4 linked regions of the Oryzias latipes genome follow. Each later gene encodes a partner of the first gene's protein in a complex. Links are inferred from orthologs where the notes say so. Each region holds a gene or a part of one and is shown in the gene's direction. Other genes may lie near its edges.

Region 1 (8,465 bases):
GGTTGGAATTATTCATTTAGAAAAAATGTTGGAATGTCCACTCCTTAGCAGCATTTCTTTTCCCTTTCATTTTGTGTCTCAGTGGTAGTTTTTCAGCTCAACATCATTCTCTATTTAGTTTTAGATAGGACATTAGTTTGTATTTAGCCAAGCAAACATTTTAGTTGGTATTAAAATTGTTTAATTTATCCTGAGAAGGTTCACAGCTGGACTGAGACGGACCACATGGAATATAAGAAACGCTGCCAAGTGTGAATTAATCCTTCAGGCTTAAAATAAGCAGGACGTTGTTGGCATTTTATGAAAGCTTATTGACACCAAACCACCTGTGGAACTAGGAGGACTAAGTCACTAAAAACTTCCACATCCCACCAGAAAACAAGGAAGTCCCTAAAAAAAACACACGTCTATTATCAGTAAAGATGTGCTTTAAAAAGCAGAAAAAATAACAAAAAATAGACCGCAAAGGTCACTATTTCACAGATGAACCGAAACCCAAGGTGCTGACTCATTAGAACAGACCCAAACACAGTCCTTACATGCAGCCTTCTCCTTTACTTTTTTAGAACAGTCTACTAAATTTACAGGGATTCCCAACCCAAACTGTGTGGGCAGCGCCAAGGGCACAATTTTAAAAAGAAAAAAAAGGGTCACGTGACACAATTAAAGTAGGGAAAAACGATCTTGAAGAGGAAGGAGGGGCCTCAAACGGTAAATAATAGTAGTAAATAGATCTATCACTACCATAACAAGCACACACGTGAAAACTATACACTACATTAACGTAAACAATTGGCGTTTCTAAATAAGCTAACTAGCTTCCCTTACTTTTAATGCAGTTTTTTTAAACGCCAAATTCTCTCAACGTCGAGAAAGTTTCGTAAATAAATCACGGCGAGTTATCTTAGAATAATTGACAACAGTTGGGGTTCTATTTTGAAATACACCTCTTGTTGCTACAAATTAGCTAGCCGGCGGGACGCCAGCAATCACTGACAAAGGTAGCCGTTAAGGTGAACATCACGTACCTTACTGTATTTTGATTCTGCCAATGCCAGCCATCAATAATTTTCGCGGCTCCGGTGAGGGTGGTTTTCGTTTGGGTTATTTAACCGTCATTCCAGCCATCCTCATCCGGTCCCCGTCAGACCGAACGTTGGGAAAGTTCTCCACCTGATCGCTGTAGTCTCGTCGCTGACACACGACAAAAGCAGGAAACATCGGTCTTTCCTTACCATAGAAAGTTCCAATGAATTTGTCACGGGACCACAAAGTCTGCATCCACCGCACATCCCCGGCGATGTGGACTTCCGATACAGATTTTCAAAATAAAACGAAACGTCCCAATTTACCTTTGATATGATCAGATGAGCGGTGGAAATACTGTTCACATTGAATAAAACATGCTGGTTTCTGCAAGAGTATCCGACTTAAATACAAACTATTGCTTCTAACTGATGCTCGACAATGTTTACACCAATACAACAATATTGGAGGAAAATGTTTCACAAAACACCTTATTATTTAATAGTGATCACCTTAATCAGATTGCTTATTCATTACAAAAATATTGTGAGGTAAGTTATTGTGTTGTGTTGTGACCCTTCTGGGCCACCGTAAATAATAATAATAATACAGTTTACATATATTTCACAAACTATAAACCTCAATTTAAAAATAGGTATGCCTAAATCAAATAATTATTCAATGAGTTTTTAACAAGTGTAACATTTGAGTGTAAGTCCTAATAGAGAAAGCAATTAATGATGTCAACAAATACCAACAGCACCCAACACTTTGAAATTACAAACTTGTAATTGGTATTAATGTAAAGATTACTAACAAATACAAGATAATTTAATTTAATAAATCCACAAACTAATACGTGTTCTAGCTAAAACTAAAGCTTTTACACATTTCTTTGTTCACAAAAAATTAGAATCTCAGATGTTCACAGAGATTTTTTTTAGATGAAGACTTGAAATGTGCCTGAGACTTTCCAGGACCATATCTGACCTTCATTACAAAATTTAAGTTTAAATACCTGTGCCATCTTGTTTACCTCCAGATTCTTTCAAACCATGTGTAAATAGGTTTGCAAACTGTAGCCATAGTGCATTACAAAAAAAATTTATTTATCTATAACTAACCGGATTAACCCACACAGACTGGTTTTAACATGTAGTTTTTGGAGATGTGGTTGGATATGTTTCTCGTGTATTTGAGATTATTTTTGGCCACCTGTTAAATTTGTTTTCCTTGTCACAATCTCTGTATCAAATAAATAATTTATTTAATCTTTAATTTTTTTGCAACATGCAGCTTGAACACATTATCTCTTCCCTCTCAATAATACCTGGATCCTAAAACTAAAAATCAATATCCTGCTAAAAGATAACATTGTCATTTAAATTAATAGCATATGTTTGACTAAAATAGGTTTATAATAATTGTAGAGTTCTAAGTTGTTTAGTAGATTTTGGAATCAAAGTGACGGACACATTTATTCATTCTAAGTTCAAAAGTTTCTTGTGCTCTTATTTTTGTAAGGTAATCAACTTCCGGCTCCGTGCATTTTTTTTTACAATGACAACACTCTTGCATCAACAAGTGAAACAGTCATCTACAGGCTTTTAAGTAAACATCACCATTTTCTAATATCAGCTTTTCCCTCCATATATTAGTTTGTAATAAAAACGGGTTAATTTAACACTACACGTGTCACCCAAAGACAAACCACTCCTAGAAGTTTAGACTTTTTTCCCCTCTGTTTTTTGATATTTCTGCAAATTTTTAGGATAAAGATCAGGGTGTGAATAGGAAAACCTTTTTTAATGTGGGAAAAAATGCAGTTGTGTGATGGAAACCATCACACAACTGCAGATGGACGTTGTGTCCACAAGGTGGCAGTAAGATGACGTGTTTAGACTGAATGTCAGCTTGAAGAGATGTAATGGATGTAACAGTTTTTCATGTTTTATTCATATTTATGTTTTAATTATAAACCGTAAGCCAAATTGTTTCAAGCAATTTGGTTTCAGGTATATTTGTGGAAACTCATTATTATTATTATTATTATTATTATTATTATTATTATTATTATTATTATTATTATTATTATTATTACATCAATGCAGACCATATTTATCATCACTAGAAGTTGTGTAAACTGTGTTCCCACACCGAATATGCTTATTCTGTCACTGTCACCTTAAGCACCCGCCTTTTAGAACGTTGACCACTGAAAAAAACCTTGCGGACTTTTAGACCATTCAGCCGTAGATTCGTCGTCCTCATTTGGACCAATCAGTTTTGAGTATCAGTCCTCGTGTTACACGGCCCTAATTCTGACCAATCAGGAACGAAGCCGCCTGCGCAGAGAGCTGAGCGCCAGAATCGGCGGGATGGACAAAAAAAACCAACCCAACTCTATAACGCCATGCAGACGTACAGAAGCCCCACATTATGAGCGGAAGGTGCGGTAGCAGTGACAATTTATTCAAGAATTTTATTTACACCCGTCGGCATACTATTGGTTTCTAGCGTTTCAAACGTGATCTGTAAGAGGCGCCCATATGATAAAGAGCGACCGTTGGTTTGCGTTTCATTAGAGATGATATCTTCATGGACAGCTGCCTGTTCTGGGTAATGTTATGAGTTCTTCTGCGTGGAGTTAGCTAGCTGGTTAGCCGAAACGCCAAGTCGCCGCATCTCAGAAGACGTCGTTCATGACCAAAAAGCAGTTTTATGGAGAGACACCTGTTCACGCGCGATTATTCCACAGAACTGCCAAACACAGGGTTGTCTTCGAGAACTTTCGGTTCTGCTGTCGGCTGTTATGGACAAAGTGAAATCACGCAGGTAAGACTGATTAATACTCAAACGTCACAAAGCTCGTCGACTACCTTTCTCCTGTTTCTATACTTAATAGAAATTAAAAATAAATGAATATACTGACATTATTTAACATTTTAGCGTTTGTTTATAAAAATAAACGATTACAGTCTAATAAAAAAGTTTCTGTAACAACACTGACACTATTATGGCGGCATATTTTAAGATAAAAAATATAGTTAATTCACATGTAGTGTTATGCCAAAATATTACATTTTCTTTTCACTTTTTAAATTTAATTTTAATTTAATTAATTTCGGTAACCTTCACGTGCGACATAAAGGTTATACTGTAGTTCTAAATGCATTTCTATATCATGCAAATTAATTTTTCATTGAGTTTTTATTGCTATTCAATTGAATTCAATGAAAAAAAATATGTATGTGGGCTTTTGCGGCCACATCATCACACCTAAAAACACACACACTAATGCACTTTGCTAGTGAAAGAGTCTGTTGATGTGAGATTGCCCCTTTCCGCTTGTCACCTTACACCCCTCCCTTCTGTTTTTACACACAGTCGCCCCAGTGAAGAAGTTTGGCCAGACTTAGGTTTATAATGACACGTTTGCACAGTAAAGAACAGACATTCATGGACTTTCTGACACTAAAAAGACGGAAAACAACTGCTTAGTATATTTGTGGGTGGCACGTTTCAGCTCTTTAGAACATGTGTTAGTTCTGTTTTGTAGAACTACCTCACTGTAACAGCAAAACATTAAATATTGCATCATTTTCTTTCAAGGAAAATAGATCTGGGTTCTTATGTGTTAAGAAAATAACTTATTCAATATTGAATTTTAGGAAATACTTGCACATTTGCTTTTCCCATGATATGTTTAAATTATTTATGAACCTTTAATTGGTAGGCCTAATTTCATTAAGATGTTTATCAAGGTTAAGGTTAACCCTAATCCATCCTCCAATGATCTTTTCCTGCTGCCAGGTTTTGGTTTATAAATTTCAAAACTCCAAATGGAAGTAAAACATTTTTTTTGTTGTTGCTTATGATAAATTTTCTTTTAGCTAAAGTTGTTAACTTTCACAGCTACTTTTCATATTTAGGTCTACATGTTAAGAATGGGTTAGGAGGAAACAATAGGTATTAGAACAGAGAATAATAACATGATTATGGTTCTTTTCCCCTTTTCCTGTTGTGTTTTCAGTACTGATGAGGATGAAGAGCTGGTGTCCACAGATCCAGAGAGTAAAGAAAAAAGCAATGATAAAAAAAGACTGGGCAAAATAAAGTGGTCACGAGAAGAGGTATGTTTATTATAGAAACCAAAAAAAGGTGAAACTTATGCATCTTTGGAAGACATTTCTAACCATATTTTTTATTTATGCACCTGCTAAATGAAAGCACACTGTGAAAATGTTTGCTGAAAGCGTGGAATTATCAGTTTTTTCTTTTTAAACTCATAATTAAAGGATGAAAAGCTGAAAAAACTCGTGGAGCAACACGGAACTGAGGCATGGAAACTAGTAGCTACTTTTTTCCCTGTAAGTATTGAGTCCACCTGGTTACGGTTCCATCAAGAACGGTTGTAGCCGGTCCTGCGGTGGGATGAAGTGTTGCACTCTGTGTTCCTGTGACTCAGGGGCGGACAGATGGTCAGTGTCAGCACCGCTGGCAGAAGGTGCTCAATCCAGAGCTGGTGAAAGGACCCTGGACAAAAGAAGAAGATCAAAAGGTAAGAAGAGCTGGGAGTGTCTCTTTTGGACAGATGACTGAGGAGAAAAATGATAGGGGGAAAGAAGAAAACCCTGGGGAGGGTACAGGAGGAAACACGGGTGACACAAAAAGCAATGCAACTTTTAGCTTCAATCTAACATGGTTTTGCAAATGTGCTAACTTTATCCTCGTTCTTTTTCTATTAGTTTGTGTGTGTAATACACCAAAACAGACATTCTGTAGTTTTAGAGTTGAATGTGTGTTTGTATGAGCATTACACTCCTCAACTGTAGCTTAGTTTGTCCGTCTTCATGCTTTATATTTCTGACATCATACTTTATAAATAGAAGTGCAGTCAGCCAACTATGACTTCACAACATTTTTCTGCTCTGAGAAAAACGTTTCAACAAGTTCTGCTGCTGCTGTTCTCTATGCTTTTTAACCAATGCATTATTATTATCATTAAGATTAAGGATCACAAGTCAATTTGCTCTAAGCTACTTTTAATTTGATTTGTTCAGGTTATCGATTTGGTGCGCAAATATGGGCCGAAGCGCTGGTCAGTGATTGCAAAGCACCTCCAGGGAAGGATTGGAAAACAGTGCCGTGAGCGATGGCACAACCACCTGAACCCAGAAGTGAAGAAGTCCTCATGGACACAGGAGGAGGACCGGATCATCTACGAAGCTCACAAACGCCTTGGCAACCGTTGGGCAGAGATCTCCAAGCTTCTCCCTGGACGGTAATCTGAAACTACTGTTGCATGTTTGGTTTTAAAGCAAGCAGTTTGCCTAAAAAACCTCCTCTTGTTAACAGCACAGATAACTCTATCAAGAACCACTGGAATTCTACCATGAGAAGAAAGGTGGAGCATGAGGGTTACCTCCAAGACAGCTACAAGACTTTCACTTCTACTGTGAAGAAGCGCCTAAACAGGCAATGCCCTACATCTACTACAAAACTCCAGCAGCACGATTGCAGCCCTGTGGCTCCTGCAGGATCCAACCTGGTCCGTGGATTTTTAGTCTTCTCGTCATTTTTCTAGAATCTGCTTTTCTGTTCTGTTTTACCTTTTCAGTTCTCCGTTTTTCAGGTTGCAGACTATCAGTTTGATCCTGAAAGTGAACAGACAGTTAACAGTCTTCCTGAAAATCCAGCCTTCCCATCTGTGAGTCTGTGTTTCTTTGCCTTTGCACGCTAGAACGGAACGCTTTATGTTCTATTCTTTCTCTCTGCAGTTGTACTTGTGATTGCTAACTCTGGACAAATCAAGCAAATCAAATACTTGACTGTCCTGTCATGTTCAGCTAACAGAAAAATATTAATTGTCAATTTTGTTGTGTCTTTGTGTGTGTTTTTCTGATTATTTTGTTAACTACCATAACTTGTGCCTCTCTTCTTTTTCCCCTCAACCGCTCTTTCCTGACGTTTGTGTATTCCAGTCCTGCCTTGATGATCCTCACAGGGAACAGAGAATAAAGGAGCTTGAGCTGCTGCTTATGTCAGCAGAGAGTGAAGTTCAACGACAAGTGCAGTGCAGAGGTTTATGTGTAAGAACACACTTCAGATGTGTGTTGGCATCGTTAGTCAGCTTAGTCTGCGTGTTTGTAGCTTGCATACACTGTAAAAAGGCATTCCTAATCTAAACAAGGCATTCAATTTTTAAAATAGTTTTTAAATTATTTTTTTTTGTTAATATATCACTATCCTGATGACAAAAATGCTCTTTTTGCAGTGTATGCACTTCAAAACGAGAGTGGTACCCATGTGTGAAAACCTGTAGCCTGATTTGCTGTAGTGTTGCTATAGTAACTCCTTTCCCCATCTCACTGCTTACCCAGAATGGGCTGAAGCTGCACTCCTTTCTGCAGATAATGTGGTTTGATGAAAAGCCGCTCCCATTCCTCCTTCTTCTCCATCTTCACACCATAATCTGTCGGCAAGCAACTTGGCTTTGGCCTTTTATTTGTCTGGTTTTTGTTTTTATTCTGACCCCACTGTCTCCTTTTCCACCCTTCATTCATTGCAAATACATCACGAGTTCCATCTTCGCAGTTAGTGGTTTTTCCTGTGTTTGTGTAGAATCACCCAAGTGTTGCAGTTTCAAGTATGACAACAGTGTGGATTTATTTTGCTCTTTCAACCAAACATGGGTTGTTCTTGTTTCTCCTGTCCTCAGAAGCCATACCCAGCCTGGTCAGGCAGTTTACCAGAAGACAATTTAGCATCTAGCAACAGCAGTCTGGATGAGCGATTGGAAGAAGGATCCTGGAGGGGCCCTGAAATCCCACCGGGTCCTCAAGCACATCTTCCTATCTCCCCCAGCAAGTTTCTGGCTGCTGAGGCCGGCGCCGTGCTCTCCAACCTCCAAACCTTCCCAGAGTTTGCAGAAACCATGGAGCTAATCGATACAGTGAGTTACAGAAGAGGAAAACTGACAGAATCTACACACCGTGCCTTGAATTTATGAAAGCTCTACAGTAACTGTGTTTTGCTCTGCAGGACGCTGTCACATGGAGCAGCATGGCTGGTTTTGACATGCCGCAGACGGGGACGCCCCCCAGGCATAATCAGCCGAGTTACAGCACTGTCTTGGAAGAACGGACTGTTTACAATCCATTGGAGTTTGCACTGGATGCTTCCCCTGCCAGGAACTGTGCACCTCTTGATTTAAGAGGGGTCTCCTCCCTGACACCCCCCAACTCATCCAAACGCACCCAGCCATCTACAGGGAAGAGGAGAAGAGAGAAGGGGGGGATTTTGAGCGGCAGAATGGGCTCCTTCTTGGAAAACATCACAAACTCACCCAAGAAAACACCAACAAAGTCTCTGCCCTTCACCCCATCAAGAGTAAAATATTTTTTCTTTTATTTAATTTATGCCCCCCCCCTACATTG
Region 2 (7,293 bases), on another chromosome or scaffold:
CTTCACCAATTAAGCACACATACCTAACGGTTTTAAAACTCATGCTTTTAACCAAGGAAACGCAAAACTGTCTTTTCGTTTAAAAATGTATGCTAACCCATTTTGCTAGGTTTACTACCAAATATTATTCTTTAAAAAAAATATTAAAACGTGTTTTCCAAAATGAAATCTCGAAGCATGTAATTAGTGCAACACATCTCCAATGAAACTTCACAAAATCTCTAATGAGACACGTTTACCTGAGCCTGAATGTATATACTGAGGTGATTTCCGTTGCTGCGAAAACTAGCTAGCTTGTTTTTGTCCCAGTCAGCTGACCGTTGCCTACGGAAGCCGCATGTCGTCAAAAGGCTTTCGCAAACCCCACTGTGCGCGGTTTCTTATTTAAATGTTTGTCTTTGAATCTGATCAGTATAGCACTTTTTTGAATGTTAGGAACTATTATTATTTATCAGTTAAAACAGATTTATTGTGACAGAATAATATTATTTTACAGATTGTTGTGAACATTTCTTATGTAGTCTCCCTCTACAGATCATTTAGTCGTAGTTTTGTCACGATTGGGATCACTTAGTTTTGAATCTAAACATTCCTTGATTTAATAATAGTGTAAAATATTAACTTTTATAAAGCCTCACAATTAAAAAAAACTCCATCAAACTACGTAGAATTTGAGCATTATATATAATAGTATATAGTTGTGTGCTAAAGTCTTTAGCAGAAAAATATTGTAAACGAAGAAAGCTTTTTACAAATGAGAGTTGATAATTTATTTTCCTTTTTCAACAAAATTCAGTAAATAAACAAAAAGATTCTAATCAAATCAATATTTAATATCACTACTTTTGTTCCTTCAATCCTGCATCAATTCTGTTAGATACACTTCCACAAAATCAAAGATTTTTGTAGGAATACCTTCAGGTCCATCATCGAGAATTTATACCAAACAAATGCTAATGATCCCTAATGTCACACATAGATTGAAACCTGGTCAAGGACTGAGTCAGGAACAGCTGTGATGGACGCTTAAACCTGGGGAGAACAGCCAAACTCTGCAAGGTGAGGTTGTGAAAGACATGCACATTTCTAACATCTTGTAGTTAAATTAAAAAATTTTACTGCATCAAGTAACTTATAAACTTAAAGATATGTAGTTCAGGGTGTAGCGGTTCATTTTAACAACAAATCAATTTATATCATGATTTGCTGTTCCTGATACAATTAATAGCCAATATTGGTTCATTTTGAACGATCCAGTTCAATCACTGACCTAAAATCCAGCCAGGACATTTTTAGCCAAAACTTTTAAACCAGTGTGACTCTGGTACTCTGATACTTCTGGCAAGTGTAGAGTTGATGTGTACACATAAACAAGTAAACAAAAATTAAAAGAAAATCCATTCAAATTTTGGTTTCATAAAGTTGTAACACATGACCACATGTCTTTACACAATTCAAAGTGTTTCCACACATTGGACTGTAACATTCTTTTTTATTTTTTGGCTGCCACCACATATGTGTTGTCTGCTGTGATGCACTTGGTCGCTTTTATGTTACGGTAAAATAAACCTACCATGTCTCCAAATGCTATTTTCCAATCTTGACATTTTCGATTTATTTAATTTTGAAAAGATTTTATAATAGTTTGAATAGATAATAGATTAACAACTGCCCTAGAAAATATGTAGAAATATAAAATTGTTTCACTGATTAAGTCGATTAATCGTTACACCCCTATAATAACTTTTAAACTTAAATTATGTGGTAACATTTTTGTGGTTAAAAAAAATAAAGTCGTTAGGATGCAATACTGAACTCAAATAGTTAAATTCAAAATATTTAATTTACAAACCAATGTTTACACAGTACACTAATTCGCACTGCTTTGCAACCTTGAAAATGTTTCAGTCAATGACAATGTGGTTTGGAAGAAAAGCTTTAGAGGGGAAAATAATTTTCAAATATTCATTTGAAGAACGGTGCCTGCGTGTGCGCGCGTGGAAGTGCGTTTTCTTCAAGTTTAAGTTGCTAAGAGTTCGAGTTAAACTTTCTCCTCTACCAAAAATTCTTGCAACCAATACTTCCCCTAAAATCGCAATAGAAAAACTACTAACCGTCTTTTTTCATACTTTTTTCAATGTTACATTAAAAATAAATCACTAGAAATACATGTTCGTGCTAGCAAATGTATTTTTTACGTGGTTTTATTTTTTCATGAACATTTGCACACGGTCCCTAAAACGAAAGCACCGTCCCGTCATACCTCGCGTGGCCAACGGCTCTCCACCGACTGCTCCTTCATTGAATTTCCATACTCGCTGCTTCAGCTCGATTTTGCTCAGTTATTTTCAGAAAAGCAGCTAGTATTGACTCGTAAATTTGCACCACACCATCCACGCGTGTGTGTTTCGAACTGCGGCGGTGGAGCTTTCTTTCTTGGGCTCGCTGGCTGGATTTAGTCGGAAAGCAGGCAAGAGAAGAGGGGAAGTACGGAGCTGATCCGGAGCAATGATGGAGCTGGAGACGGCCAGTAACAGAGGCGACCCGGGAACCGTGGGAGACTCGCTGCAACCGCAGACGCCGAGCAGGCACGAGAAGAGCCTGGGCTTGCTCACGACGAAGTTCGTCACTTTATTACAAGAGGCGAAGGACGGAGTCCTGGATCTGAAAGCTGTGAGCTCTTTGTTGTTAGCTAGCACATGTCACTTTGAGCCAGCCCGCAGTCGTTAAGTTACATGGTATCTAGCTAGCATGCTAGCCTAGCTTAGCTGTGTGACAGGCTAATTTGAATGAAAGATAGCTTTGCCTTCTAAGTTTGTTGTTTTAGTTCACCACTTTTACAATTAAAATCACATTTAATATTTTATGGTGCAGATTTTTGCCTTTCTGAGTGAAGAAACGAAGTGAATTTCAAGAACACCGGTCAACTTTTTTCGACTCTCTGCCCCCCTGCAGATTCAAAGTTTAGAAAGTGGGTCAGCTTTTGTCATTCTACTCTCAGTTAAAGCCACTGCACCTTCACACTTGAGCAAGTTTGTTTTATGATTGATTGCGTCTTTGTCCACGAACGACATGCGTTTATAATGTTGCTTTTCAGAAATGACTCAAAGCGTGAAGTAGTACTCGCACAGATGTTGATTAAATTAGGCTAGCTTTGTTTTTCACAGTACAGGGGCCACATTTCCACATTTCCATCACTAGCTTTAATGCAGGAATGTTTACTATTGGGATTCTGCTAAAGTCCCACATTGTTTGATGTAAAAGCTCAAATAGTTTTCTACAAATACAAAAAAATATATAACGTTTGCACTTTTCATATTTTTACATTAGGGGTGTTACGATTTATTTGAACAATTTGATCCACTTTATAATTTGTGCTTCACGACATGATTTATAGTCCGGGACATCTTTAGCCAAAACATCAATCAGTGGGACTCAGAGATAAATAAATGGGTACTGAACAGTGTCACTTGTATTTCTTGTAAATGTAAATAAAATGGCTTAACAAACAAACAAGTAATTCCCATTTTAGTGTCAAAGTTCAGCCCACTTTTGCCATAGATAGGGTTGTTACGAATAATCAGTAAATCGATTTATATTGCTGCGATCCAACCAGATTGACCTGAAGCAAGTTGTTAATTGAGTCAACGTGTTTTATTATTATAAAATCCTTTCAAAATGAAATAAATCAATTATATGGATATAGGAAAACACCATTTGGATTGAGGTTCTGAAGGTTTATTTGACCATAACTGTAAAAATAACCGAGTGCATCACAGTAGACAACACGCATGTGACGGCAGCAAAGCATGACCAACCATCATTACGGCTCGATGTGTGGAAACATAATTTTTGACCATACAGTGTGGTCATATGTCGCAACTTGATGAAACCAAAAATGTGAATGGATTTGACTAGGGCTGCACGATATAATGAGGAAAACTCGCGGTATGCGATATTAGTGATAAACATTGCGATGAGGATATAACTTGCGATACATGAACAAATAGCAAAACGATCAAAACCATAATTTCCATTTCACTGCAACAGTTTTAATTTAAATAAGAGTTGCCCCTCGTCTACATAGGAGGCCAACATAAAAGAGCTCCATCCCATTGGTCAACCACGTGAAAGGCTCCATCTGATTGGTCAAATGTTTAAATGAATTTATTTGATTCATTAAATACTTCAAGCTGCTATGAGATTGTTTTAGCACTCTTAAGGTTACGATTTATTGCAATTTTTGCAGACTTTTGCATGATATATCATATCATGATAACGATAAATTAGTGATTTATTGTGTCTAGATTTGCCATTCATTCTTGTTTGTGTGTTTGTACACTTATTTAATTTACGCTTGGTTATTTTGCAAGGAATCTGGAAAACCTCCGCTGTGCTGTTCAGTACCAGGTATTTCTCTCTGAGTCCCACTGATTGATGTTTTGGCTAAAAATGTCCTGGATCTATTTTAGGTCAGTGAATCGGATCGTTCAAAATGAACAAATATCTACTATAAATCGTATTGTCAACCACAAATTATTATATTAACCGAATTGTTCAAAAGGATCAATACACCCTAAAAAATGTAACATTCTTAGAACATTCTAGCCCACTGGATGGGACCATGTCTTTGCTAAATTCAAAGTTTTTCCACAAACTGGACTGGAATGACGGTTGATCAGTTTTTGCTGATATCACTTGTGTGTTGTCTGCTGTGATGGTCGATTTTACATTATAGTAAATAAACCTAACGTGCCTCAATCCAAATGGTATTTTCCAATATAACTAATTTATTACATTTTGAAAGGATTTTTTTTTAATGGTATAGGTCGCTTGGATCAGCAACTTGCCTCAGACAGATTTATTTGGTTGGATCGTAGTAATATAAATCAATTTATCAAATAAGTGGATTGATTGTTTCCCCCCTAATGTACATATTTTTCTATAACAGTCATAGAAGAGAGACACTTGAGTCTAAAATCATTTAAATTACAACACACTGATTCTGTTTTGTTATTTTCTTAACTGTCATTTTGACCATTCAGGCATTACATTATGTATGAAGAGTTCTGCTTCTTCTCTTTTTGAGTCTGTCTTCCTGATCATTTCCTTCTTGTGTGACTGGGTTGATATAGTGTCTGCTGATACTCTAAGCTGCGCTGCACCTCGCAGATAAAACACTCCACGCACGTGCACACATTTTTTTTCTTTTTCTTTCCAACTGACTTCACTTTGCAACCCTTTTTGCTAAGTTTAGACGTATCAGCACTTTCCACAATGTTGCCGTGTAAATCACCAAGAAGCCGGGCCGGTTACAGGACTGGGGATCCGGCCAAAACATTTAACCAATTTGAGTAACATTCACAAATTTAAGACTCGATTTTCAGGTTAATCAAGTCCTTTCAAAGCTTGAGTTCTTTGGTTTAGAATAATAATAATAGTAATAATAATAATAATAATAATGGATTGGATTTATCAAAACAATTTATATCTAAAAAACAAAAAATGGAACTTTTATTAATAATTAGATTAAAACGTAACAAATAGCGGCATATTTCCAGTATTAAAAAAAAAAATTCAGTCATATTTATCTGGGCATTTGATACCCAGATGATGATAAAGATCAACGGGATTCATTACCTTTTGTTTGTTGTTGTTAAACCGGTACAAGCTGGTTGGTAAATGTTCCGTTCTTTTGGGGCATTATTGTTGTACTACACACATCATTCATTTCTTTATCAGTCTGAAGGAATCAAGCAGCAATCACATTAATAAAATGGTTTCATTGGAGTTCACATACGCTTTAAAAAGAGCAGAAAGAATGTCATTGTTTGGTGTTTGTAAAAAGATTGAACATGTTTTATGGTCAGAGGAATTGTATGTATTACTTATATGAAACATCCCACTGATGGGTGGAACAGACTGTTGGAATAATTTCTCTTTTGAAATCTTTTTCTTGTATGGTAAAAGTGTTTCTCCTGTTGTTCAGGCTGCAGATACCTTAGCTGTGCGACAGAAACGGCGGATCTATGACATCACCAACGTGCTGGAAGGTATTGGTCTAATAGAGAAGAAATCCAAGAACAGTATCCAGTGGAAGTGAGTGCATTTTCATCTTTTGCGGAGTTTCTTTTTGTTTGTTTTTTTAATTGCAGAACACTCCTGAGTGTAAGCTGCAGCCCTGGCCAAACTATGCTAAAAATAAGAGACTTATACTCCAAATAATACAGTACTAAAACAGATTTGTATGTACTTTCCCTTGGAGCTGAATCGCAGCTGTCAGTTCTGCTCTGGACCACTCATTACCATAACAAGTCACAGGTTTTGGATCAGGTTTGGTCTCAGTCTGGAAGAGGAGTCTTCTGCCAAACCCCTGTGTCCGCTGGAAGCGGTGATCCGGCATGAGAACCTCCATCAGAGTCTGGCCTCTCACCTGTGCAGCAGCATCTGTCTTCTTTCCAGACTAGAAACGGAGGACAGCAATTTATCTCTGCTTGTGTTTGAATGTGACTGTTCTCTGCCTGGCTGAAAGCAACCCGCTTGTGTTTCAGGGGTGTCGGTCCGGGCTGCAACACCAGAGAAATCGCTGATAAGCTGATTGATCTGAAGGCGGAGCTGGATGACCTGGCTCTCAGGGAACATGAACTGGACCAGCAGCGCGTCTGGGTCCAACAGAGCATCAAAAATGTCACAGATGACTCCAACAACAGCCCATATCCTTGAATAGAAGCCATTTATATATATTTACTCATACCTGCTTTGGTATTTTTTGAAGGGAGAAGCACTTGTAATATTTAATTATGTGTTTGTTAATAGAGTCAAGTAAATCTTCTGGTCTCACTCTCCAAAATTATTTCCAGATGAGAAAAAACTAAAACCTCTGATGACTAAAGGACATTTGATGGTCAATAAAATTGTTTTTATTGTGTTTGCCTTAAAAAATGCAGACTTTACCATTCTGCACATGTCATAAAGACTTCAGCTACATTTTTTAGGAGACCTTTAAGTGGTTTAGATGCTCAAACGTTTCATTAAAGCCTAAACAGCGTTAAATTGTGACATTTCTAGTGCACAAAGTTAAGATAAAATTGGAGTCGGTGAAACCTAAACTGCTCATAAGCGGTAATAATTTATATTAGTCCCTTCATGTTTGAAGAATCTGTAGCGTGAGGCTCTATCTGAAATCTGTGGATATTATTAATGTAATCTGATTACATCAATGATGTAATTAAACAAAATTATGATTTTAGGATTGGATAAAAAATATTCACTTATAATTGAGAGATTAAAGTC
Region 3 (7,281 bases), on another chromosome or scaffold:
ATCACCGTGCCAAAAATAGCATTTGTTTTAAAAAGAAATGGATGTATAGCACAGGGTTCAAACTCCAGGCCTCCAGGGCTGGTGTCCTGCATGTTTTCTAACCAACCTGCCATTGAAGCTCCATATTGGCTAAACACACCTGATCCAGGTAATCAACAGCAGATGAGGCAGAATTTTTGCAAAACCAGCAGGAGAACTGGAGTTTGACACCCCTGATGTATGTAGGAACAGTGCAGAAAACAAATCAGAATCTAATTTATCAAAATACTTTGCTTCCAAAAGCTTTCGTCTTGTTTATATCATGCAATATTTGGAATTCTATGGCTCAAGCCTGGATAGATATGAAATTTTGGACAGAAAAGAAATACAATAAGTCAAAAGTTTTACTTTTAAAAAGCCTCCATTCAACTGTCAGCATGTCCTCCAACCAGCTGCCTGCCTGCAGCATCTGAGCTTTTACAACATTTCGGACTCATCGGGAAACTCCGAGAATTACTTCATTTATCCATCTTTCATTTTTAATAAATCCGCAAAAAAACCTGAAATAATTCCCAATGGAGTGCTACTATCCATGCAGTAAGGATTATTGTGCAACCAGAAAGGTAACGTTGGGTTAGCATCAACATACCCACAGAGCTAGTAAGTTACACTGGCTAATGTTAGCCGAGTTAGCCCGAAGGTAATGACATTAATGAAATCATGAACAGAGGACAATGTCAGTGAGCTCAAGGCTATGTTAGGGGTTTATGCGTGTCCATCATGATGAAGGTCCAGCGGCTGACCCAGTCACAGTCGAAGTTAGCTGACTGCCAAAAAAGGGAGTGTGGCTAATGCTAGCTGCTCTCAAAATATCTACTGACCTTCGGTAACAGCAGCGATTATAAGAAACTAAGGCGTGTAGGCTAACCTAAACGTAGCCCGTGATGTAGTGCAGTCTTATAGTAATATTGTTAATAGAAAACAGAAATGGCACGAAAGCCACTGCACGGGTTTGTGTTTATTTTGGTTACCTACCATTTTTACACCCGCTGTTTGACCAGGTTGGTAGCCCGACTGTTGCTCCGAATGCGCACGCGCAGAAGAAGTTGCTGAGCAGCAATCGGAGGATTCCGAAGAAGAGCAGCTGCGGCTTCTGCACGAGCAATGTTCACCATCCAGTCTGTCCAGAACCCAATTTACCTCTAACCCTTGTGCTATCTTAGATGACCCCCCACCCCCCTTACATTGACGTGTTCTCCCTACTATGACAAAGGTGGATAAAGGTGGAAAGATTTCATGTAATCCATGGACACCAGTGAAGATCACAAATCATTGAAGGAAAAAGGTTCAACACACTGTCAAGTGGGTCTGCTTGACCCAACTCCCAACGTTAAAGTGCCTAGGATGTTAACAAGAATAAAAAACATGTCAGTCGTCTACGAAAGAAATGCAAAAAAAAACAAAACAACAAAACATTATTATTAAATTATTATTATAATTATTATTTTATATTATAATTATTATTTTAATTATTATTAAAATATTATTATTAATATTATCTTTAATGCTGAGAGCCAAGTAGAAAGGTATTATTCACAAGTCTAGTTCACACTCCCTGTCGTTTGCTTTTCTCCTATTTTGATTATACAAGGATTAGCTGATAACACAAGAAAAAAGGGCTTCTGTTTAATTTGGGGACATTCCAGCAGAACCAGTGAAGGTCAATCACCCATCTTCAGGTGTTATTCTGAAAGGACAGAAGAGAAGAGAAACAAAAGTGCCAAACCAGGAATGTAAGTCATTTAAAAGAACATTTTCAAAAATATTTATGAAACTGTTTTGTGTGTTTTAAAATGAGCCTGTGTGACTACACAGAGCTTCACCATCTTTATCAAACAGAACAGTTTTAGCCTAATGATAAAGATAAAAAAGGTTTGTCTGACACCAAACTTTAAGTGGTAACTGGAGCTAGAGGACAGAAGCCTGATAACCAAAGAATGACCAACAAGTTCTAACTTTGGAACCTCTAAAAACTCTCAACAAGCGAAGAATTAGCACAAAATATTAGATCACAACAGTATCAAATAGATATGAATATTCAACAAAATGTTCTTTTTCATCCATTCAATCCATTCATAAAAATAATTTCATCAGCTATTATAATATTACTAATATAATATAATATTACTAAATATAATATAACACAATATAACTTATTTTTAGGTGTACAGTGAGGGCTAAAGCTATTTATGGACTATTTAGTATGTTAGAGATTCTTTCACGAGAAAACAGAATTATCTGAGTTCAGCAGACGAAGAACCAAGCTCGGTTTTATCTTATAAAGAAATGAGTCCACCCATAAACAAGTTTTAATAACTCAGCACACAGTGAGCCCTTGATAACCTATCTGTGAATGTGCAGCTTTCTTTACTCCATGCTGCCGCAGTTTGTTTGATGCGCAAGATGCAGAATGAAGCTCCTCTGTAATGAACTGTAACAGTGTAACACCAATTCGTGGCAATTTCAAGATGTTTAATAGAATGTAATGTTTACTAAAAACTTTCTTTTTTTGTTTTTCTACCTATTTGTTCGAGTCCTTCAGACATTTAACATTTTTTTCATGTATTTAAATGAACATTTTTGTAAACTTCCCTAGGAACATCGCAGACAAAACCAACAACTTATTCCACCAATTTTGTGAGCAGAAGAGCTTGAAGGGGCGCGCCAACGTCGCCATCGCATCCGCCTGCCTTCACATCGCCTGCAGACAGGAAGGAGTCCCCCAGAACCTTCAGGGAGATGTGTGCTGTCTCAGGACCTCAAAGAAATACATTGGTAGGTGTTTCAAGCTGATCCTGTTGGCTCTGGAGACCAGCGTGGATCACATCAGCACAGGTGACTTCATGTCCCGCTTCTGCCCCAATGCAGAAGATTTATTTGAGATGTGTTTCAGTAGTTCTTGAAACACATCATGTTAATGTTCGTATACAGTAAACGCATCATGTGTGTCTGTGTGTGTGTGTGTCAAAAAAGAATGAACAATGGAGTAAAAAAAAAGAAATAAACAAAGAAACACATTGCTTTTCATTGTAATAAAATGCCAAATTCCTAAATCTTGTTGCTTAGTGACCTGCATGCTGTGGGTCTTACCCCCTTATATATTTTAGAGAAGAACATTTTCAATTATTTAAAACAATCACAAAAATAACATGTTTTTACTTTTTCAAGAGGAACTGGAACATTAAGAAGAAGATGATAGATCATCAACTAAAATCTAGCAAACATTCTTTGAAAAAAGATGTCTTTGATGATGGAAACTACACCACTAAGAAAATTTCTGTCATTGCTCATGATTTTATTTTATTTTCTAGTGAAAATGTTTGACTTCTGACCATGTCGCTATGTAGGCTGTAACATGAAATTACTATAACAAGATGGCCTAAGACATAGTTATAAATGTTCAGCTCGCAACAGAGTTTAAAGAAAGCACTATTTTCTGTATCACCCAATAAACTCAGCATTGCTAAACTCTTCACCAGCTAGGAATTTACTTTGATTATAGGACAAAAATTCCGACACCAAACCTCCAAAAATGCAGTTGGAGAGAACTATGCCAAATAGACACACCACTGCAGATAGAAAACTATCAAATTAATTATGACTGCATTAAATTCTTAACTTGGCAGTGTTTGTAGATATAGAATAGAATAGAATAGAATGCCTTTATTATCACGCCTAATGCAATAAATGCCAAAGGTGAGTGCTGGGATTTGGAGTCAGACAAAAAAAAAAAAAAAAGTAAACTGTAACAGTCCTCACCTTTTTTCAATTATGTGTCCTCCTGGTTTATCGTTAACACCTGGGAATGAAAAATAATAATTGGTGTAATTAATTTAAACAACACCGGTAATCTTTATTAACCCAAGGAGTCTGGGCTGAAGCATTCTGCTTGTCGAAGCCCATCAAAAAAACAAACAAACAAAAAAAAACATTCAATTGATTTACTTCTGAATACATATAATTTATATATATACACAATCATACAGGTACACATACATTCACACATGCACAAACACATACATTAATGTTTACTAATTTTCAAACTATGCATTTCAGCTGTCATCTTTCAAAGGTCTTTGTTACTTTCTGAAGTGCCAATTTTTTTTTTTATTGAATAAATCAACAACACACTGTAATGTACAATCTCTCACATAGGATTGTAAAATGGAGACAAAAAAATTATACAAGGAAACTAAAAAAAATAACAAGCAGATATTTGTGGATTGATTCTTTTTGGAAGTTTTAATGATCGGTAATATATTTTGAATTCATTTATTTACAACATGACAAGGAGGGTTTGCTGCTTCTCCATTTATTTCAATGAGCGTGATATTTATTGAGTAATAAAATAATATTAATAGTATTTGTCAATGAATTATCTAGTCAATCCAACTATAGCACATATAGGGGGAATGTAAACTTAATTTGACGTCTAATTTAACGTCTAATGTTTATCCAGAAAACCTATGTATGTGTTCATAAAAGTTTATGTTCCAAAGTTTCATTGTTCAAATTGCAAAAAATTAAGGGTTCAGAAGTGCCATGAGTTAACCTTTTTCTATTTATTTATTTTTATTGATGAATGGTTGAGCATTACAAAAGATTGCTTAACACAGTAAAGCAGCAAAAATAATCCAGTAATTGCAGCCAGAAAACAAATATAGAAGAACAAACCATAGCAAGACAGAATAAACAGAGTTTTGTAATGCAAGGCTCGTCTTATTTTTTTTAGGTTATATGAGGGAGAGTTTTACTTTAGATGCCTTTCATTCACATACTTAAATAATTAAAAGGATAATTAAATCCAGTAAAATAAGAATCCAATAACTAGTCATGCTTGTAGTTTCATGTCATTCCAGTCCAGCAGATGGCGCTACGTGTTTTCCTGAAGTTGGATAGTGTTCAACAACCCCAAGAGATTTTGAACCCCTACTCCACTTGGTTTCGTCCATTGACTGTAGTAACATTCAATGGTTTCGTCTCGTTCCTGCTGTCCAATCAGACGCCGCTAAAGTGAGACACCGCCAAGATCAGATTGTTAGAGTCGCTGCTCCGCTGAACGGCTAGCTGAAAGGGAGTGAAAAGGCCAGGTAACGAACTGCTAACTTGAAGGCGCACCGGTAAGCTGCATTTATTGAATTGTGGCTCGGCGCCTCAAGTAAGAACTTTCAGTTTTGTGCACATGTTTTAAAAAGGTTTGGCGTAATAAATGTCACGAAAACACACTGCTAAGAAACACGGAGCTAACCCCGACGAACGTGCACCTCATACTGAAAGTGTAGATGACAGCTGGGGGTTAGCATGTCCGCTAGCCTTCTAGCTAACAAAAGCGTCGAATATCAACAGCAATCACAAATAGGAGAAAATTACCCCTTAATAGCTATCAGAGTGCCGAATGAAGTACAAACTTTATTCGGTTCCGTCGATGTTCAGGGTACTTTTGTCGTTTTGGATCAAACTCCAGTGTTGTTTATTTGTGTATTCGCGTATTCATTGTAGTCCTCAGTGTACGTTTAGGCTTCAGGGGAAACTACATTTTTACTCAACTGTTATTAATTTTACTCATTGTATTAATTTAAAACATTCAATACAATTAAACTTTGTTGTTGTTTTGCTTAACTCACTTCGGAGGAAAGCTCCTTATTGATTAGTTAGGATTGTTTGTTTATCCACTTGAAAAGTTTGACACAATGCTAACTTTTTAAAAGTAGCGTAACATCCTACTTTTAACTCATTTAAAAAATAAAATGAATTTTCTAGTCACACTGTTTACTCTAGTACGTATTGCATATTAATGCCACAACAGAAATACATCTTTGCTTTAGAATGGATTACAAGCTGAAACTCAAATATTATTTATATACTGTTCTGTTGTGACAGATTTTTATGAAGTATTTCACTTGTGTCTAGTTTCAACTTTGCCTGATGAATGAAGGGTTGTCAGAAACAAGGGCACAGCTGCCACAGTCAAGCAACTGACAAACCTTGGCATCATAAACCACGATTGCGCCAAAAAAAATGAGGACATTAATTTATAGTTGACTTAAGAGCCATAGACCCACGTTGAAAACAATACTTAGAACCTAAAGTAATCTTAAATATAATTCGAAAGTAACTCGACATCGCTTATTTTGTTTCCTGTTTAATCAGGATTTAGACCTCCTCTTCCTCCATTCTCAAATGCCAATAACAACAATCCTCGAAGAGAAAAGAGAGTGCACTCGTAAGTGCACAGGTCTGTTATATTATTCACGAACCCACCGTGTGAAACGCGCATTCACTTAAAGGGCGTTAAATCCTTTTTAGATGTTGAAATAATTTGCACCACGGAGGGATTAATCCGTGAGTTAAATGTGAATCGTGTAGAAACGTGCAGGAGCTAACTAGCAGGCTAGCTGGACCCATCGCTAGCTGTTAGCATTGGGGCGCTAGCTGCATTCACCAAGAGTTAATTGCTGGCATCATTAGTCGCGAACCTACTGGTTTTCCAGCACGGGGGTCTTCTCTGAATTCACACTGTGGTGCTAGAGAAGCCCGGTGAGCAGTTCCGGTCCGGTTGGGGGAAAGTTCGGGTGTTTGTGTGACCTGTAGCAGAAGTTGGACGATGCCTCTCCTCCGGACGTGCTTGGTACCTGAAGTAGGCCTCGGGCACACTTAGCGCTGTAAAAGTTGGGAGCATCCAGGGATGACTTTTTATGGTTTTCTGCGCACACAGTCCGAAACCCAACGGGCTTGAAAGTTTCTGGAAGTTTCGATTCGTACAAAGTGCTTCATAATTCTGTTAGCTTTGTTGTAGTGGAGGAGGAGAGTAGCTAACATAGTGATGTGGTTAGCTTTCCACACAGTGTGCTCTGGTCCAGCAACTTAAATGGGCCCTGTTTAAGACATGAATTTAACCCCAAATAGCGTAAATTATAGCTGAGCTGAGCCTAAATAATTGGCCAAAACATTTCTTAGGTTCAAACAGAAATACGTGTAACTTCATTTCCCCCCTTTTGTCTACAGGAGTTTGAATAGTGCCTGGCAGAGGAAGGTCTTGCTAACTTGAAACAATACCTGTCCCGGTCCTTTTGGATCATGGCTAAAGATGTAAGTTACTAAAAGCATGGATGGAAATGACTGCAGTTTAAATGCAACTTAGTAGGTGTAAAAGAAAAGCACTTGCTGCAACTGTTGTTGCTCATATGTACTTGAGTCTTGCCTAAAATTTGTAATAATAACTTTCATGTTCTTGAGTGTTTT
Region 4 (7,280 bases), on another chromosome or scaffold:
TCAGTTAACCTATGAAACATCTTTTTAGACTGAAGAGCGCATTCGATCCAGAACCTCCTTTCCATGAGGCGAGAGGGCAAACCACTACACCACCAGGCTTAATGTGTGCGGGTTTTCCCTGAAGGCATCACAAAGATGCCTCCTCTAAAGCTCATCATCATCAGCTGCAGGACTCGCGGGTCCCGGTGTCACGCCCAGTTCTACCTGCAACCAAACCCAGAACCAGAACCAGGACTCTGCATGAAAAAAACCCTCTAAGGTGGATCCAGACACATTCTTTGTAAATATGACTTTCACAAAAATAAACTTTCAGCTGATTAAACCTTTGGAACCTTTTCTTTTTAACTTAGTGGATTCATTAGATTTGGATGAATCACAACGGTTTTTTGTTGTTGTTGCTGTTTTTAGTAAATTAATATCATAAAAAAGGGATTAAATGAATACTCTGGATCGAAAAGCTCTGAATTATTCACCTTCCGCGTTTTTGCTGCATGTGCCTTAGTAATACAGGCCTCAATGTTATTTTAACAACATATGAATTGTTTAAAAGTTAAATCTGTGAAGAAGAAATGTATTTCATGATCAGAACATAGCAGTTAAGTTAAACTACATCTTCTTCTTGCTCCTAAAATGAGCCGAATTTCGTGACAAACTAAAAGAAACATTCGCGACATTGTATCGCTTGTTATTAATTCAAAAAGGCGAATCCAAATCCTTAAATAATGAATATTTTTCATAAAGTTCAACGGTTAAGATGACAGCTACACGGCTAAGCTAGCTTAGCTGGCGCCTCTCGTTTGCTTTCCCGCTGCTGATGGACGGTTTTTACGGCGTTAAAGCAAACACGTCCCGCTGTTTTGATCGCATCTCTTTACCCCCGGAGTCCACGCTACGTACTTGGTCGCCAGATCTTTGTGAGATCCACTGGAGTTCATGAGCTGCGCGAGCTCCTGCCTCACTTCGGCCGCCATTCCTGCCAGTGTGGAGGCGCGTCAACAACACCGGCGTCCTTCGGAGCTGAGACAGGCGCGCTCCCGATACGTAAACGGCCGCGGAAGCGCGCACGTACAAATAATTTTTTTGTTTTAATAAAAGTTACCTTTTTAATTTTGTAATATTTTGAACAATTTTGAACAGATGTTTTTAGAAAAAATACAAACTTGTAGATATTTTTTTAGTCTTCCCATATAGACGATAAACTAAAAAATAATTGGTTTTGAAGTTGTTGTTTATCATTTTTAACACATTTCTTTTGGCTTGTTTGATGTCAATACTTAAGTTTAAAAATAAATAAATTATGTAATTAGCATTAATCTTTCATCTAATGGCTTTTTAAATTGCAGCAGTGTTTTTAAATTATTGCCAGAGTTTTTTTTAATTGAAGTTATTAAACTCTATTATGAGGTCTGTTTCATTTCATCAAATGATCTAAACTAAATTGTTACAAAGTTTTGTTTCCTTTTTCAACCGTCAGTGAAGCTTTTTTCCTAACTTTAAGTGTCTCAGCATTTATATGTGCATTTTTGCAGGAAATCCTCTATTTATGTTCATTTTACATATTTCTTTACATTTCTAGATACCTAAAAGTGTGGGTTAAATAAATAAAACTTTTATTATTAACACTTGTATTTAAAAATATTAACAGATTTTTTCCCCCCATTAGATGATTAGAAATTTGCCTCTAAGTTGTGGGTGAGACAAAGGAAGTTGAGCAACCCTCCTTCCTGTCACCAATAACTGAGAGCTCTCTTTTTGCCTCCTCTCCCACTATATTACAGCCCCTCACACCCCCAACCTAATATTAAAGGGGGCAATGACAATGGTGAGCAACATTGGAGCTATCCAGCTGTACAGTTTTGATCCAGATACCAGCTCAGATGAGGAAAACAAAGACATCTGCTGGGAATAGAGCAGGGAACTTGTGGCCAGCATAAAGTTGACGTCACAAATGTGATCTTTTTCAAACTGCAGGTTTTTAACCTGCCCCTGACTCACGCCAAAATGAATAAAGAAATACACAAAAATGCAATTTTGAGCTTAATTGTCCTCCTTAATCAGAAAAAATGCCACAAGAACATGCTTAAAAAAACAAGTTTCATCGGAGTGGGTCTGTAATATTAAATACAAAAAAATTCAAGATAAAATAAGTCATAAAATCAAATACAATATATTAAAAAAAATCTTGCAGTTTTTCGGATTTCACGTGTTCTGTAGTACTGTAATATAATTTAAAGTCCAGATGAAATAAATTTAAAAAAAAGGTTGATAATTAGACCACTTACAATTGTGAATTTGACATTTTCTGAAAAAAACAGCTGATTATCAAAAACATTACATTTTTTCTGAAATTATTCTGAATAAAATTTCAGGACAGATGAATGAGGGGGCCTGTCCCTTTAAGAGTTACGTCACGGTGGTGTCACGCGAGGAGGGCGTGGCCGGCCTGTGAAATGTCAGGGAGGAATGGCGCTCGGCGCGGTATTTTGAACAATCGCTTTTACCTTTCCTCGCTTTAACTGGAAACGCTACCCAGCGTTTAAATCCCGGGTAAGCACGATTACCTGTTACCGCCTTGTGAACTTTACCGCACCGTTTGCACTAGAAAGCCGCGCACTTAGGAAGCTGTTCAATGTTGAGGTATAATGTTGTGCTAGCTAGCTGGGGTTAGCCAGCTCAGCAACTTCGCTAGGAGAGTTGTCCTGCCTGCTGGATGAAGATGAAGCCGCCGATGAGGAACCGGGTTTTCACTGACGTTTTCCGCTTTTTTTTAATGAAATAAAACAAAAAAACTTTCGTGCGCTGGGGCAGAAATACGCTGTTAACTGCTTGCTAATGAAGGTAAAACAACAACAAAAAACACAACTGGTTTGGGGTGTTAAGCCACTATTTCGTTGTTTTTTAATTGAACTGAAATTAGTGATCTTAGTAGTTTTTTCAGTTATCTTTAAAGCCTACGTTACAATCAATTTAATTACATTTTTAAACTCTAAGCTTTTTTTTTTTCAAAAATAAAAAAGGGGACATTTATTAACCACCGGAAACAAATTTAAACATGTGAAAACAACCAACGTTTTTGTGGAAAAGTAGTTCATCTGAGTTCTAGGTGTTGCAGTCCGAGAGAAATCCAAACTGACAGGAGGAATTGTGGGAAGCTAGCATTGTTTACACTGTCACAGAGTCCGCTCCGGGTGTTTGTGCGCGTGCCCCGGATTTCCCGGGTCTGCCCTCGAGCTCGGGGGAATGCCTTTGTGCTTCACCGTGAATCTTCTCCGTTTGGTGTCTCCGGCGGCTGGCGTGTCCGCTTTCAACGGAACCTTTTGTCAGTTTTTCTGCGCTAGCAGGGCAGCTAACCGAGTTGATGACGAGGTAAAAATGGCGGATCTTTCGAAATCCAACGCCGGCCTGAAATAGTAACGCAGACCGTAGACGCTTTCCCCCCCGTTGCTTCATGTCCTCGGTTAGACCCCCTCCCTCTGGTTCTGACTGAAAGCGGGTTTGGGCCCGCCTCCTCGCGGGGGAGGAGGAGGGGAGGAGTTCAGGTGGACGTGGGGGGAGGTTCGGGGAGGGTTCGCGCGCTTGCGTTGAGTTGGCCATGCACAGGACCGCTGCGGCCTAACAGACCATCAGCTGTCAGCCTCTGTCACAACCAGCTGATGTGCACATCCCGGGACTCCTGCACCAGAGGCGTGACTTGGTGGGGTTTGGGGTGTCTCCGTTGAGAAACACCAGAGAGGATTTAAAAAAAGAAATAAAAGGAGATCTTTCCATTTGCATTTATCACGCAATCTTTATTACGGTGATGGACTCAACCTTTAAAAAAACTACAACTACTGGCTGAGAATTGTACGGCTGGATTGCTCCAATATTGCTCATCGTTCTTGTTGCACTGGCAATGTTCGGTTGGGGGGTGTGAGGGGCTGTAAGCCAGAAGGAGAGAGAGTGTAAACAAAGGGATGATGGGAAGTCAAAGCAGGCTTAACACACCCCCCCCCCCCCCCCCCCCACCAGTGGTTCAGTCCCCAACTCTGAGGTGATTTTCTGATTAACTCCTGTTGCTCTGCAGGAACTATGTCCTAGGAAATGACAGTAGTTTTTGGATTATTGGCTAAATACGGCAGAATCATAAGTACAAGACCACTGGGAACACTTTGAGAATAGATCAGAAGATGATTGGAGTTGGACTTTTATTGTTGGGTGTCTATTGTTTTGTTTTCAATGTTGTGACGACACTGAATTGTGGGATTTCTTTCTCCTCTCCATTCTGGTCCCCAACATTTTTCAGGCTTGTTTGCGGCTGAAGTGGCTGTCAGATTTTCTTTTACCTCCCAGCTTTGTTTTATTTTTTAGGGTAAAGTTTATCTTCATCCTCTGTAAAAACAGAATTTCCTGAAGGAATCATTAAAATGTGAAATAGATTTTCCCTGAACCAATAACTGTCGAAGTGGAAGACGCCAACTTCAGCTTCGTCTGACCTTTAGTCACTGAAACTGATATTTTCTAAACATAAATGTAAATTTAACATTTGAACAACTTTATTAGCAGCGTCCTCGTAACATTAGACAGCCTTTTGCTGAATATTGTTGTTGTTATTAGTGTGTGTGTTTGTGTTTATGGGGGGGGGTTACAATAATCCACATTTGGAGTAAAGACTCCTGGTTTATGTCTGTTAAATGCAGTTTTCTGTTTCCTCTCTGGATCTTTCCTGCCAAAACAAACTTTCCAAATACGTTTTGTTTTTTGTTAACTTTGCTAGCTTGGAGATTTAAATTTAGCGGTCGGTGCAGCCACTTTAAGAAAGATGCATTTCCTACATGTGTGACTTGACAGAGAGGAATGTGGGTCGTGGGTTTTTTCTCTCTCTCTCAGTAAAGAGTAACGCAGATTTGCAGAGATGCTTCGACTAATGCACAGGTGAATTTTGACTAAATTAAGCAAACTATGGAGGCTGAGACCACAGAGTCTGCAGAACTGGAGATACGATCCATACTGCAGAAAACAGAAATACACGGAGTCTTGGATCAAAATGTTGTTGTTTTTTAAATGACATATTGTTTTTGTACTTCTGATTGTCTTATTTTTTTTTTTAATCCATAAAAAAAACAATCTCATTTCTGTGATCTCTGCTCAAATGTACTTAAACGTTCCCTCTTTGACAGAATTTGTTGTATTTTATTGTAACATTTTCCGAACCCCCTCCCCTCGCCAACGAAGTTTCTCTAAGAAAACGTTTAGTTCAAATCTCATGGAGAATCAGGCCATGTTATGTGTGGCTACCTCCACACCTCTGCTAGCTGTGTTTACTTTTCTTATAGTCTGTTCTTGCAGTCAGTTTGTTGAGATTCTCTAAATTGATGCGTTTTTGTCAGTAAAAGGCAAAGTTTTATGTGTAGAGCACCTTTCACAGTCTGAGGAAAAGACTAAATCTGTCAGCATCCATCCATCTATCCACCTTTACTCTCACCCTGTGCAGACATTGGGGTTGCAGTCCATCACAGCACCACACACAAACGTTCACACACAGTAAAAAAAAAAGTAAAAGGATATTCCCAGGTGGTGCGGTGGTTGACCCTCTCAACTCAGTCAGGAGACTTTAGTTTGGATCCTTTTTGTGGGGAGTTTGCATGTTCTCCCTGTGCATTGTGGGTTTTCTCTGGGCACTCTGGCTTCCTCCCACACTCCAAAAACATGCTACAGAGGTTCATTTGTATCTCTAAATTGCCTCTAGTTGGGAATGCATGTGTGTGGTGTTCACCCAACAGTAGCTGGGGTGGCTTATGTATGTAACCCCCGTGACCTTAAAGGATTAAGCAGGTTCTGAAATGGATGTGTATATATATTTTTTCTTCTATTTTTCAGCATTGTCATTTTTTTTTTTGTTTCTCCAGGATTGACAGAGCGGAGACGCTGCAAACATGGACGTGGTGTCACCCGAGTTGAACAGCCTCCTTCCTGATGAGATCATGGACACGGAGGCCATGGAGGAGGCGCCTCACTCTCAGCCCGACAGCGCCGCGGTCCAGGCGGAGCCCTGCTACGACTCCACAGTTCCCATGGAAACGGACGTCCCGCAAACTCCCAGCGTCTCCGAAGACGCGGCGCCGACGGGTAACTCCCAAACCCAGCTAACGCCTACGGACTCCACGCTCAGCCCCAGCAGACATTCCTCCATCCTCATTTCCAGCGGCCCGTCGCGCCTGGTCACCCTCAAACCGGGCCTGGCCACCTCCACGGCCCCCACCAAAACCACGGACAGCGTGACCGGGACGAGCATGTCCACGGGCGGCTTACAGAAGCTCACCGCTCCCTTCACCATTTCCTCCGTCAACCATCAGATCATCCTCAACAAGGTGGCCTCGTCTCAAGCTGCGGAGGCTGCAAAGTCTGCGGGGCCGCCGCCGCAGGTCATCAAGCAAGAAGGACAGAAGCTGCTGGTCACGACCATAGGGAAGTCAGGACAGCCGATAGTGCTGCAGCTGCCGCATGCGGCCAGCAAACCCGGCGTGGTCCAGGCCTCAGGAGACGGCAAGGCCCCGGCTCCGCAGTTTAAAGTGGTCACGATTGCTGGGGGGTCAGAACTGAAGCCAGTGGTGGGGAGTGGAGGCAACCAAGTAACCGCAGTGCAAACCCAGCAGCTCAAGACTATACAGGTAACCCTGAGCGCAGAGGCTGCTACTGTGACCTTTGAACTCCCATTAGCAGGACTGTGAGAACCTCAAGACCCACTCTTGTCCTTGTGGCATTTTAGTCATGATGAAGAATGTATATAAAAAAATTAGAGGTATAACAATGCATTTTTAAAAGCAAATTGATACACATCATAATTAGTGGTTGCGATGCGATTCCCAGTCAATATTGGTTCATTTTGAACTGACTGAACAAACGTCGATCCAGGACCTCTTTAGCCAAAAGCTTAACCAGTGTGACTCAGAGAGAAACATCAGGTACTGAACAGTCCAGGTGACGGTTTTTCTTGTATTTATTGAAAGCAGTATTTCTTTGCCAGTTTTAAGTAAATGGTTTATTTTCAGTTTTAATGAACCGAATTGTATTTTCATTACAGTGACAAAATAAAACTGTAATAAGTAGAAATTACTCATTTTAGAACAAAAGGAGAATCTTAAAACAAGTTGTCTTAATAAATTTTGATACATTTTATTTAATTTTTTTGAAGTTGAGTTTAAATAAAAATTATTTGGACTCATTTAAATAATAATTTCCTTATTTCTAGATCCATACGAGGCAAAAAATTCTCACCTGTGTAGATTTTTTTTTTTCCGCAG

Evidence for each region.
Region 2: mybl1 (region 1) and e2f4 share a complex: the UniProt entries of both Homo sapiens proteins name them as parts of the DREAM complex. The link is inferred for Oryzias latipes from reciprocal best matches to the Homo sapiens genes MYBL1 and E2F4.
Region 3: mybl1 (region 1) and tfdp1 share a complex: the UniProt entries of both Homo sapiens proteins name them as parts of the DREAM complex. The link is inferred for Oryzias latipes from reciprocal best matches to the Homo sapiens genes MYBL1 and TFDP1.
Region 4: mybl1 (region 1) and lin54 share a complex: the UniProt entries of both Homo sapiens proteins name them as parts of the DREAM complex. The link is inferred for Oryzias latipes from reciprocal best matches to the Homo sapiens genes MYBL1 and LIN54.

Annotation. Positions count from the first base shown.
Region 1 is NC_019878.2:17,043,100-17,051,564, forward strand, and holds the start of mybl1 (myb-related protein A), read left to right. Parts: upstream 1-3,371; 5' UTR 3,372-3,404; coding exon 3,405-3,476; intron 3,477-3,784; coding exon 3,785-3,861; intron 3,862-5,059; coding exon 5,060-5,159; intron 5,160-5,324; coding exon 5,325-5,396; intron 5,397-5,494; coding exon 5,495-5,587; intron 5,588-6,089; coding exon 6,090-6,310; intron 6,311-6,384; coding exon 6,385-6,577; intron 6,578-6,661; coding exon 6,662-6,736; intron 6,737-7,010; coding exon 7,011-7,118; intron 7,119-7,747; coding exon 7,748-7,981; intron 7,982-8,070; coding exon 8,071-8,418; intron 8,419-8,465. UniProt on the Homo sapiens protein: Transcription factor that specifically recognizes the sequence 5'-YAAC[GT]G-3'.
Region 2 is NC_019864.2:28,151,383-28,158,675, reverse strand, and holds the start of e2f4 (transcription factor E2F4), read left to right. Parts: upstream 1-2,428; 5' UTR 2,429-2,508; coding exon 2,509-2,673; intron 2,674-5,989; coding exon 5,990-6,099; intron 6,100-6,551; coding exon 6,552-6,713; intron 6,714-7,293. UniProt on the Homo sapiens protein: Transcription activator that binds DNA cooperatively with DP proteins through the E2 recognition site, 5'-TTTC[CG]CGC-3' found in the promoter region of a number of genes whose products are involved in cell cycle regulation or in DNA replication.
Region 3 is NC_019879.2:10,684,646-10,691,926, reverse strand, and holds the start of tfdp1 (transcription factor Dp-1), read left to right. Parts: upstream 1-2,416; 5' UTR 2,417-2,521; intron 2,522-2,635; 5' UTR 2,636-2,814; intron 2,815-4,996; exon of another isoform or gene 4,997-5,159; intron 5,160-6,134; exon of another isoform or gene 6,135-6,576; intron 6,577-7,044; 5' UTR 7,045-7,116; coding exon 7,117-7,128; intron 7,129-7,281. UniProt on the Homo sapiens protein: Can stimulate E2F-dependent transcription.
Region 4 is NC_019870.2:2,880,916-2,888,195, reverse strand, and holds the start of lin54 (protein lin-54 homolog), read left to right. Parts: upstream 1-2,415; 5' UTR 2,416-2,547; intron 2,548-2,587; exon of another isoform or gene 2,588-2,838; intron 2,839-2,944; exon of another isoform or gene 2,945-3,366; intron 3,367-5,885; 5' UTR 5,886-5,912; coding exon 5,913-6,647; intron 6,648-7,280. Other genes in the region: cops4 (COP9 signalosome complex subunit 4), read right to left, coding at 898-971. UniProt on the Homo sapiens protein: Component of the DREAM complex, a multiprotein complex that can both act as a transcription activator or repressor depending on the context. In G0 phase, the complex binds to more than 800 promoters and is required for repression of E2F target genes.